Tribolium castaneum: one gene and its partner. The protein of the gene in region 1 purifies or fractionates together with the protein of each later gene. This does not show direct contact. Links are inferred from orthologs where the notes say so. Each region holds a gene or a part of one and is shown in the gene's direction. Other genes may lie near its edges. The genes, in order: toll-interacting protein and CstF50.

Region 1 (3,704 bases):
TTTTTATCATAACAAAGCAAGGTTACACTGATTTCTCAGTACCTCAAACCTTGTTCAACTATCCGTTCAGAATTCATCACGAGAAAAAACAGAGAAATAAAAGATTGGAAATGTAGATGTAGATACAACAAAAATGATGATATTTGGAAAGAAAAGTAGTATGGGAATTCGGAAAAGAGGATGAATGGCAATGGGAAGGAAAAATATAGAACAAGTGAAAGACTTGAAGTATCTGAATCAGATATGTACTGTATTATTTTAGTCAATCTTCACTATTTCAGTTAGAAGAGAGTAATAAGTAGCAAGATGTCAGACACAGCCCATATAAAAGAAGCAGCAAAAAAAAACAAATGGGGTTTTAGGAAATGTTTGAAGCTTGGGAGAACGTAAATTTAGTGAAAATTTCAAGAGAAAAATAATAGCTTAGGGAAAAGCACTGTAATGTAGGGACTATTTTGAGCAGAAGTGTGGGGATGGAAGAAATACGAGATCGAACAGGCTAAATAAACAAATGCCAGAGTACATAGTAAAAAAAGGAAGAGAAAAAAATTAAGAGTAGATTAAGGAAAGAGAGCGGTGGGATTTGAAGAGAAATTAAGAATTCTGCGTGAATGCAACAGTGTTGAACAGAAATCAAAAAAGCAAATGAAAATGTTAGATGGAAAGGACGAAAAGACTCCTATGAGAAGAAGGAATAAGTGTGTATAGAAATTAAAAGAATAAGAGAAAGGGGACGAACAATGGAAGAGGAACTGAAATTGAGAGATTTGGACATAGATAGGCAGGAAAGAATAACATGGAAAAAAGAATCGAGGTGTAATACGTAAAATATGCCGTGCTTATTGACGGATGAACTCCTCTCATACTTAAGGAAGATGTAAAGTAAAGATAAGAAAATCATAGCCAGATTTAGACGTAGAAATGAAAGCGAGAACGAATATTGGAGAGAAGATTGGGAAACAGTGTGCAGATTAAGCGGAGAGTGTCACAGTTTGTGGAGGTAAGAGTGTGCAAGTTTGATACGAAAAAAAGTTTTAAACGAAAATGGTAAGGGAAAAGAATGGATGAAAAAAGTGACGGGTGCAAAAGAAAATTGGGAAAGGTAAAGAATATCTAGAATATCAAATAACTTCAAGTAGGACTGTAAAGCCAAATAGGCAATAAAAACAATTTAGCAGTAGTAGAGAAAAACATGTAATACATCAGAAGTTACAAAAAAAAGTAAACTTACTCTAACGAAGGGATGATATAATTGGTTTTTAGGTCATTTATATAAGCACCATTCACTGCAGTTCCCTCGATAACAAAAACGATATCGGCGTGTAAGCCATGATCAGCTGGACACACAACCATTGTTTAGTCAAAATATTAAACAATTTTAATGAAACAATTTAATACAAGCACCAAACCCCGCCATATTGAAAATACCTGTCAAATTTTTAGGGATGTTACGTCAAGTTAATGGCAACACTTTCATTCAGATGAAATTTTATTTTAGCCAAATTATGCAAAAATGTTGTCTGGAAAACTAATCAATTGAATAGAATTATTAGTAGATTGCATTTAACCAAAACTACCTGGCTATTTTCGCCAGAAACTAATAAAATTTAATCCCAGACTGGGATTATATTTTTTCCCCTAGTGTCAGGCGTGTTGACGTCTGCCGTGAACAGCTGATTATTTGTCATCAAACACCGCAAACAGTGAATTAATGCGTCTTTACTTTATCTGAAATAGTGTAACACCATGGCATCGGCGCTAACGGACAAAGTCAGAGAAAGGCGAAGTCGGGTAGGTGCCAATGATTTAAAAAATCGTGCTTTAATGCCGAAATTTAGGTCCTCCTTGGTCCCCTCCCGGAGGATTTTCTCCGTATCAGCACCTCGGTTCAGCAACAACAAGAGGCAGCGGATCGCCAAACAGCCATAGCACTGCACCACCAGCTAAGCGGTGGCCAACAGTACACAAATGTCGTTGGGAGGCTCAGTATCACTGTTGCTCAAGCTAAGCTCGCAAAAAATTACGGAATGACCAGAATGGACCCCTACGCTCGGATTCGGGTCGGGCATTGCGTTTACGAGACGCATACGGACCCGAACGGCGGCAAAAACCCGCGATGGAACAAAGTTATTCACTGGTAAACACATCTCAAAAACTAGCAAGTCCCTACTTTTCCATTTCCAGTTTGTTGCCTCAAGGTATTAATACCATAACGTTAGAAATTTTCGACGAACGCTCATTTACGATGGACGAACTCATCGCCTGGACGCAGTTCCAGATCCCCCAACAGGTACTTGCAGGGGAAACCCACGAGGATTGGTACCCATTAAATGGGAAACAGGGTGAAGGTGTCGAAGGAATGATTAATCTCGTGTTAAGTTATCTAGTGTTCCCTTCATATAAATATCAACCACCGGCGCCTGTTATGGTGGTGCCCAACGTAACAGGGGGCAATGTCACACCCTTGAAGGTGTTTACAGCGCCTCCTACTGAAGCCGCGCCTGCTTTGAGTGAATCCGAGCTCAAACAAATCGAGGAAATGTTTCCAAATATCGATAAAGAGGTGATTAAGACCGTGTTTGAGGCCAACAGGGGCAATAAAGACGGTACCATTAATTCGTTACTTCAAATGGCTGAATAAATCAATCAGTAATCTCATTTACGCCATAATTAAACTTTAGTTGCGGATTCTAGTCGTAGCTTTTTAAAATTCCATTTTTTGTCATTTTTTAACTCATCAAGTGCCAAAATTTAGCCATGCTTTTTGGTTTGCTTATCGTGCAATTTTAATTTTTAACGATTTCTACTTGAACATTTCCATTGTTAATTCCAACTACGGGGGGCTAAAAGTTTTGGGAAGGGGTTGAGTTAAATTAATACGAAACCGACTTTATTTATTTGGTATAGAAAATTGAGTGATTCAGTCCTCCGTAATTCCAACTCATTGTTACTCATATTTTATCTACCATGTTATGTTTAATCGTTGTTGTCGCAGAATAAACAACAATAATTGTATTTAGTTACTTTATTCAATATCCTCTAACAATGTTATCAAAATACCATCAAAAGCATAAATTCTTAGTTCTACTCCATATTTGTTATATAAAGATTCATTAACAGTTGAATAGATTCATCGGGAACTTGCTTGAGTCGATCAACAATTTCCTTGAACATGGCTTTGGTTTGGTCTTGTGACGGCTCTTTACTGGGCAAAAGTTTAATAACCAATAAATAAATTGTTAGGTCTTTCCAATTTTCCAGTAAATTCAAACAAAACTTGTAAAAATCTTCATTCCAGTCGCCGTAACAACGCAAAAACGAGGCCAAAGAATTTTTCAATTCGCTTGCAAAAACGTTTACAACAACAATACCGTATTTTGGCACCAAAGTATTGAGAAGTCCAGCAACTGCGTTGCTAAATTTGATTAAATCTTTCTTTGCCTCGAGATTAAACAACGCAAATGAGATTTTTAAGTGTTCTTGAATCGCTTCGCCAACCCCAAACAGGCCGTGCCAACGGTCGGAAAATAATTGAAGTATTTGATAATCTCCCTCGTCTGTTTCCATCGTTGAAACAAAATTTGCAACAAAACGTAAAACTAACTGACGCGCGTTTTTCTCCTCTCCGAGAGTTACAAATGAGGCGGTTTTAACTTTGGTTAAAATATCGAAGATTAAATTTATAATATCGCTCGTGTAACTCG
Region 2 (3,997 bases), on another chromosome or scaffold:
CTTCACTGGATTCAGGAAAATCTTCCCGAACTTGATTAAACTTAAGGCTATTTATTGCGAGGTCGAGGGCTGTTTTAGTTAGACACATGAGACTGCTAGATTGTGATTATGGTTAGTGTTTCTTTCTATAGATTCGGTTTTATAGAAATAAAAACACTTGATTTGTACATTACTGCTATTACTCACTGAAATATATATTTGGGTTTAAGAAAAGTCGTTTCAATCGTTCAACAATTTAATGGTAATAGAAATTTGGTAACAATGAACAAAATTACTGGCAAATCACTTTAAACAACAACAATAAGTTAATAAAAATACAAACGACACAGAAGAGTAAGATCCACAAGCCAGCGGTTCCTGTCGCGTCCGAAATGAAGTTTTCTTTTTTCATCAGCTTGTTCTTGTGTTTGATGCCTGTAACGTCTCTCATCATTTCGAAACTCAACATTTGACTTACTGTTCAAGTGGATGTTTAGCTGAATTTCGCTGTTTGCGACGACATCGCACAATTCACAAACGAATGTTTTTCCTTGTCTCTCTTCCTTCATTTTGTGCCTTCGCCCTTCCAAATGGCGCTGAAGGATCTTCACACTGGTGACTTTAACATTACATAATTCGCACGAAAGGGCCTAAAAAATCAATCACTAATTTGCTTCCCTCAAACTGGCTCACATTTTTATCGCTGTTTTCTTCATTTTTCTCGTTTAATTGCACTTCTTCGATCGAATTATGGAATTCGGACATTTTCGCACGTTCGCATGCCGCCGCAAACGCTATCACCTGACTTTTTCAAACTTTTTTTCCGACTTTATCTTCCTCGACCTCGTCAGTGTTTCAAAGCCGGTCAAGATGAACGCAGGTCTTTACGCCGACGGTGCTCAAGTCCAAAATTTCCATTTTGACGATCCTCTCAGTCGAGAATTGTTCGATTTTGAGATTCTCTGCGCCCACGGCAGTGTGTGCGTTCATAAACTTATTTTAATGACCCGAAGCCTCTATTTTCGCCAGTTGTTGGAGAACCAGGTAGCCATCAGGGAAATTACTTTAGAAGAGTTCAGCCAGGATGTGATGAGAAAAGTCGTACGCCTGATCTACGGAGATATTGTGAGGGTCCCTGAACTGCAAGTCGAAGAGTTTGTGAAGATTTTGCACTTTTTGAGAGTCGATTATTGGGCCAAGTTCAACAGATTGTTGATGGATGGGGGCGATTTAGGTGAGAAACGACAAAAAACGGAAATTTTATCTAAATTTAAAAGTTTCAGCTGCCATGGCTTCGACTCCGGACATCTCCACTGAAACGGAACCCTCAACTACGGACGACCTGGGCAGCAGGAGGTCCGGAGACGGCGATTCCATGGCTCTTACTGAATAACGATTTTTGTGCCTATCGAGTTTTTCAATAAAGGTTTCGAATTCAGCATTTCAGTCGTAGTTTTTTTACGTTCCTTCTTTCATTGAAAAAATTCAAGGCTAATTTTAAATTGCCTCCTTTTTGCCAACGCAAAAAATATCCCTAAAGAAATTTTCACAAATAATTTGTTGCCTTCCAAGCAACTAAATCAAGGTAAATAGTAATACGTTACATTCCAAATACTCGAATTTAATTTTTTTATCGAGTTTTGGTCAAAAAAAATAATTTTTTACTACAGCAAACTACCAATGTAACAAATCCGAAACCTCTAGATTTGTTTGGGTCGCATTTGTTGTTAAAGGGAATATTTAAAAAACCTCAATAAAATGACTAACTCAAGCATTAAGGACGAAGACGTGGACACGACGAACCTCCTCAAGAGTCGCGAGTTCCTCTACCGCCTCATTATTAGGTAAAACACCCAAAACCGGCAACCTAACCTAAATTTTTCCCTTCAAGCCAACTCTTCTATGACGGCCACCAAAGCATCGGCACTAATCTCACGGCCGCAGTCCAAGCGGACCCTCCGTGTGCCCCCAGTGACCGTCTTTTTCATATTGTCATGGCCGGGTTAGAACATGAGCCTGACCGTAAGGAGAGACCCCAAAACCCCGGCATAGGGAACAATAATATCGGTCCGGGGCTTGATCTCGAATTTGAGACTGAGTCAAATATCCCAGCGCCCGAACCCGCATTGTATGAAACTGCGTACGTGACGTCACATAAAGGGAATTGTCGTGCTGGGTGTTTTTCAAGTGATGGGCAATTAATTGCAACAGGGAGTGTGGACGCTAGTATTAAGATTCTGGATGTTGATAGAATGTTGGCCAAGTCGGCGCCGGACGAGATGGATCCCTCAAGGGGCGAACAACAGGGGCATCCTGTCATTAGGACGCTGTATGACCACATGGAGGAGGTCACTTGTCTGGAGTTCCACCCTAAGGAGCCCATTTTGGTGTCAGGGTCGAAGGACAACACGATTAAGATGTTTGATATCTCGAAAGCCAGCGTCAAGAAGGCGTTTAAAACAATATCTGTACGTTAAAAATTCAGGATCAAGCACCCTTTTTTAATAAAAATAAAATATTTCCAGGAGTCGGAACCAATCAGAGCCATGTCTTTCCACCCCGGGGGCGACCACATGATCGTCGCCACCAACCACCCCGTCGTCCGACTGTATGACGTCAATACCCTCCAATGCTACGTCTGTGCTTTCCCCTCCCACCAACACACCCAGAGCGTCACTTGTCTCAAATGGTCGCAAGACGCGCGAGTTTTTGCCACTTGTAGCAAAGACGGCAATATTAAACTTTGGGACGCGGTCTCGAACCGTTGCATAAACACGTTTCAGAAAGCACACGACGGACTTGAAGTCTGTTCGGTCGTATTTTCGAAAAACGGCAAATATTTGTTATCGTCGGGGAAAAACTCAATTTGCAAATTGTGGGAACTGACAACAAGCCGGTGTTTGATTGCTTATACGGGAGCTGGGACGACCGGAAAGCAGGAATATGAGGCTCAGGCTGTTTTTAATCACACTGAGGATTACGTCCTGTTTCCTGACGAGGCAACGACGTCTTTGTGTGCCTGGAATTCGAGGAATGCTTCAAGGAAGCAGTTGATGTCTTTGGGACACAATGGGGCGGTTAGACTCATAGCGCACAGCCCCACGCAGGCCGCCTTTCTGACCTGCTCGGACGATTTTCGGGCCAGGTTTTGGTACAGAAGAACCCCAACATTATAAAAAGTGTTACTTTCTTGTATAGGCAACCAATAATGCGCGGGCATTTTTTATTTTAATCTTATTTTTTAATTATAACTAATTAAGGCTGCGCGTAACATTACGTTCCATGTTGTGAGACAACAATTTGCGGCAATTTTTGTGTTAATAAAGAGATAAAAAGGATGATTTTGTTTGTGTGGGCAACCAGTTGTGCAGTTGACGTTTGTCACAACTTTTGGTGGTTGATTGGCGTTAATGGCACGGTTTTAAATTGATTAACAATGATTATTACACTATTTTAGCATTTCAGACGTTGAGAATTACCACATTTCACCGGTTACGTGGCGCCAAAATGAATTGCACGGTATTTGGGTGGTAGTTTAGTGACGTGACCTAACCTTACTTTTTTAGCAATTTTTTCTGTTTGTGATAAGTTTCTGTGTTTCGAGATGTTATTCGTTTTATGTTCCGGGGATGGCACCGGCTGATTTCAAAGCCGGTGATCCGATCGAAGTCAAGGCTGTGAAAATGACGAGTATCCACACGCAATTGCCGTACGAGTATTACTCTCTTCCGTTTTGTTTACCTAAAGGTGGTCTAAACGCGATACACTACAAATCGGAGAACCTCGGGGAAGTACTAAGGGGTGACAGGATTGTCAACACGCCGTACGACGTGAAAATGGCAGTGAATACGCCCTGTACGCTGTTGTGTAATACCCCCAAAAATCCGATTAATTGGAGCGTGGGGGAGTCCCAGATTGTGGTGGATCGGATCCAACACGAGTACTTCGTGCATTTGTACGTCCGCACTAATTTTTTCTATGACTGTGTTCCTAAAACGTGTTTCCAGACTAGTGGACA

What was found.
Region 2: the proteins of toll-interacting protein (region 1) and CstF50 purify together in Homo sapiens (co-immunoprecipitation; 3 studies listed by BioGRID and IntAct, with this or other methods). This does not show direct contact. The link is inferred for Tribolium castaneum from reciprocal best matches to the Homo sapiens genes TOLLIP and CSTF1.

The regions. Positions count from the first base shown.
Region 1 is NC_087402.1:9,089,073-9,092,776, reverse strand, and holds toll-interacting protein, read left to right. Parts: upstream 1-1,633; 5' UTR 1,634-1,746; coding exon 1,747-1,791; intron 1,792-1,838; coding exon 1,839-2,137; intron 2,138-2,184; coding exon 2,185-2,641; 3' UTR 2,642-3,015; downstream 3,016-3,704. Other genes in the region: mediator of RNA polymerase II transcription subunit 25, read right to left, coding at 1,232-1,353. UniProt on the Homo sapiens protein: Component of the signaling pathway of IL-1 and Toll-like receptors. Inhibits cell activation by microbial products. Recruits IRAK1 to the IL-1 receptor complex. Inhibits IRAK1 phosphorylation and kinase activity.
Region 2 is NC_087398.1:3,468,368-3,472,364, forward strand, and holds CstF50 (cleavage stimulation factor subunit 1), read left to right. Parts: upstream 1-1,611; 5' UTR 1,612-1,737; coding exon 1,738-1,823; intron 1,824-1,870; coding exon 1,871-2,447; intron 2,448-2,504; coding exon 2,505-3,155; 3' UTR 3,156-3,317; downstream 3,318-3,997. Other genes in the region: Pink1 (serine/threonine-protein kinase Pink1, mitochondrial), read left to right, coding at 1-39; zinc finger protein 346, read right to left, coding at 272-414, 458-629, 673-744; TM9SF4 (transmembrane 9 superfamily member 4), read left to right, coding at 3,487-3,498, 3,546-3,934, 3,987-3,997. UniProt on the Homo sapiens protein: One of the multiple factors required for polyadenylation and 3'-end cleavage of mammalian pre-mRNAs. May be responsible for the interaction of CSTF with other factors to form a stable complex on the pre-mRNA.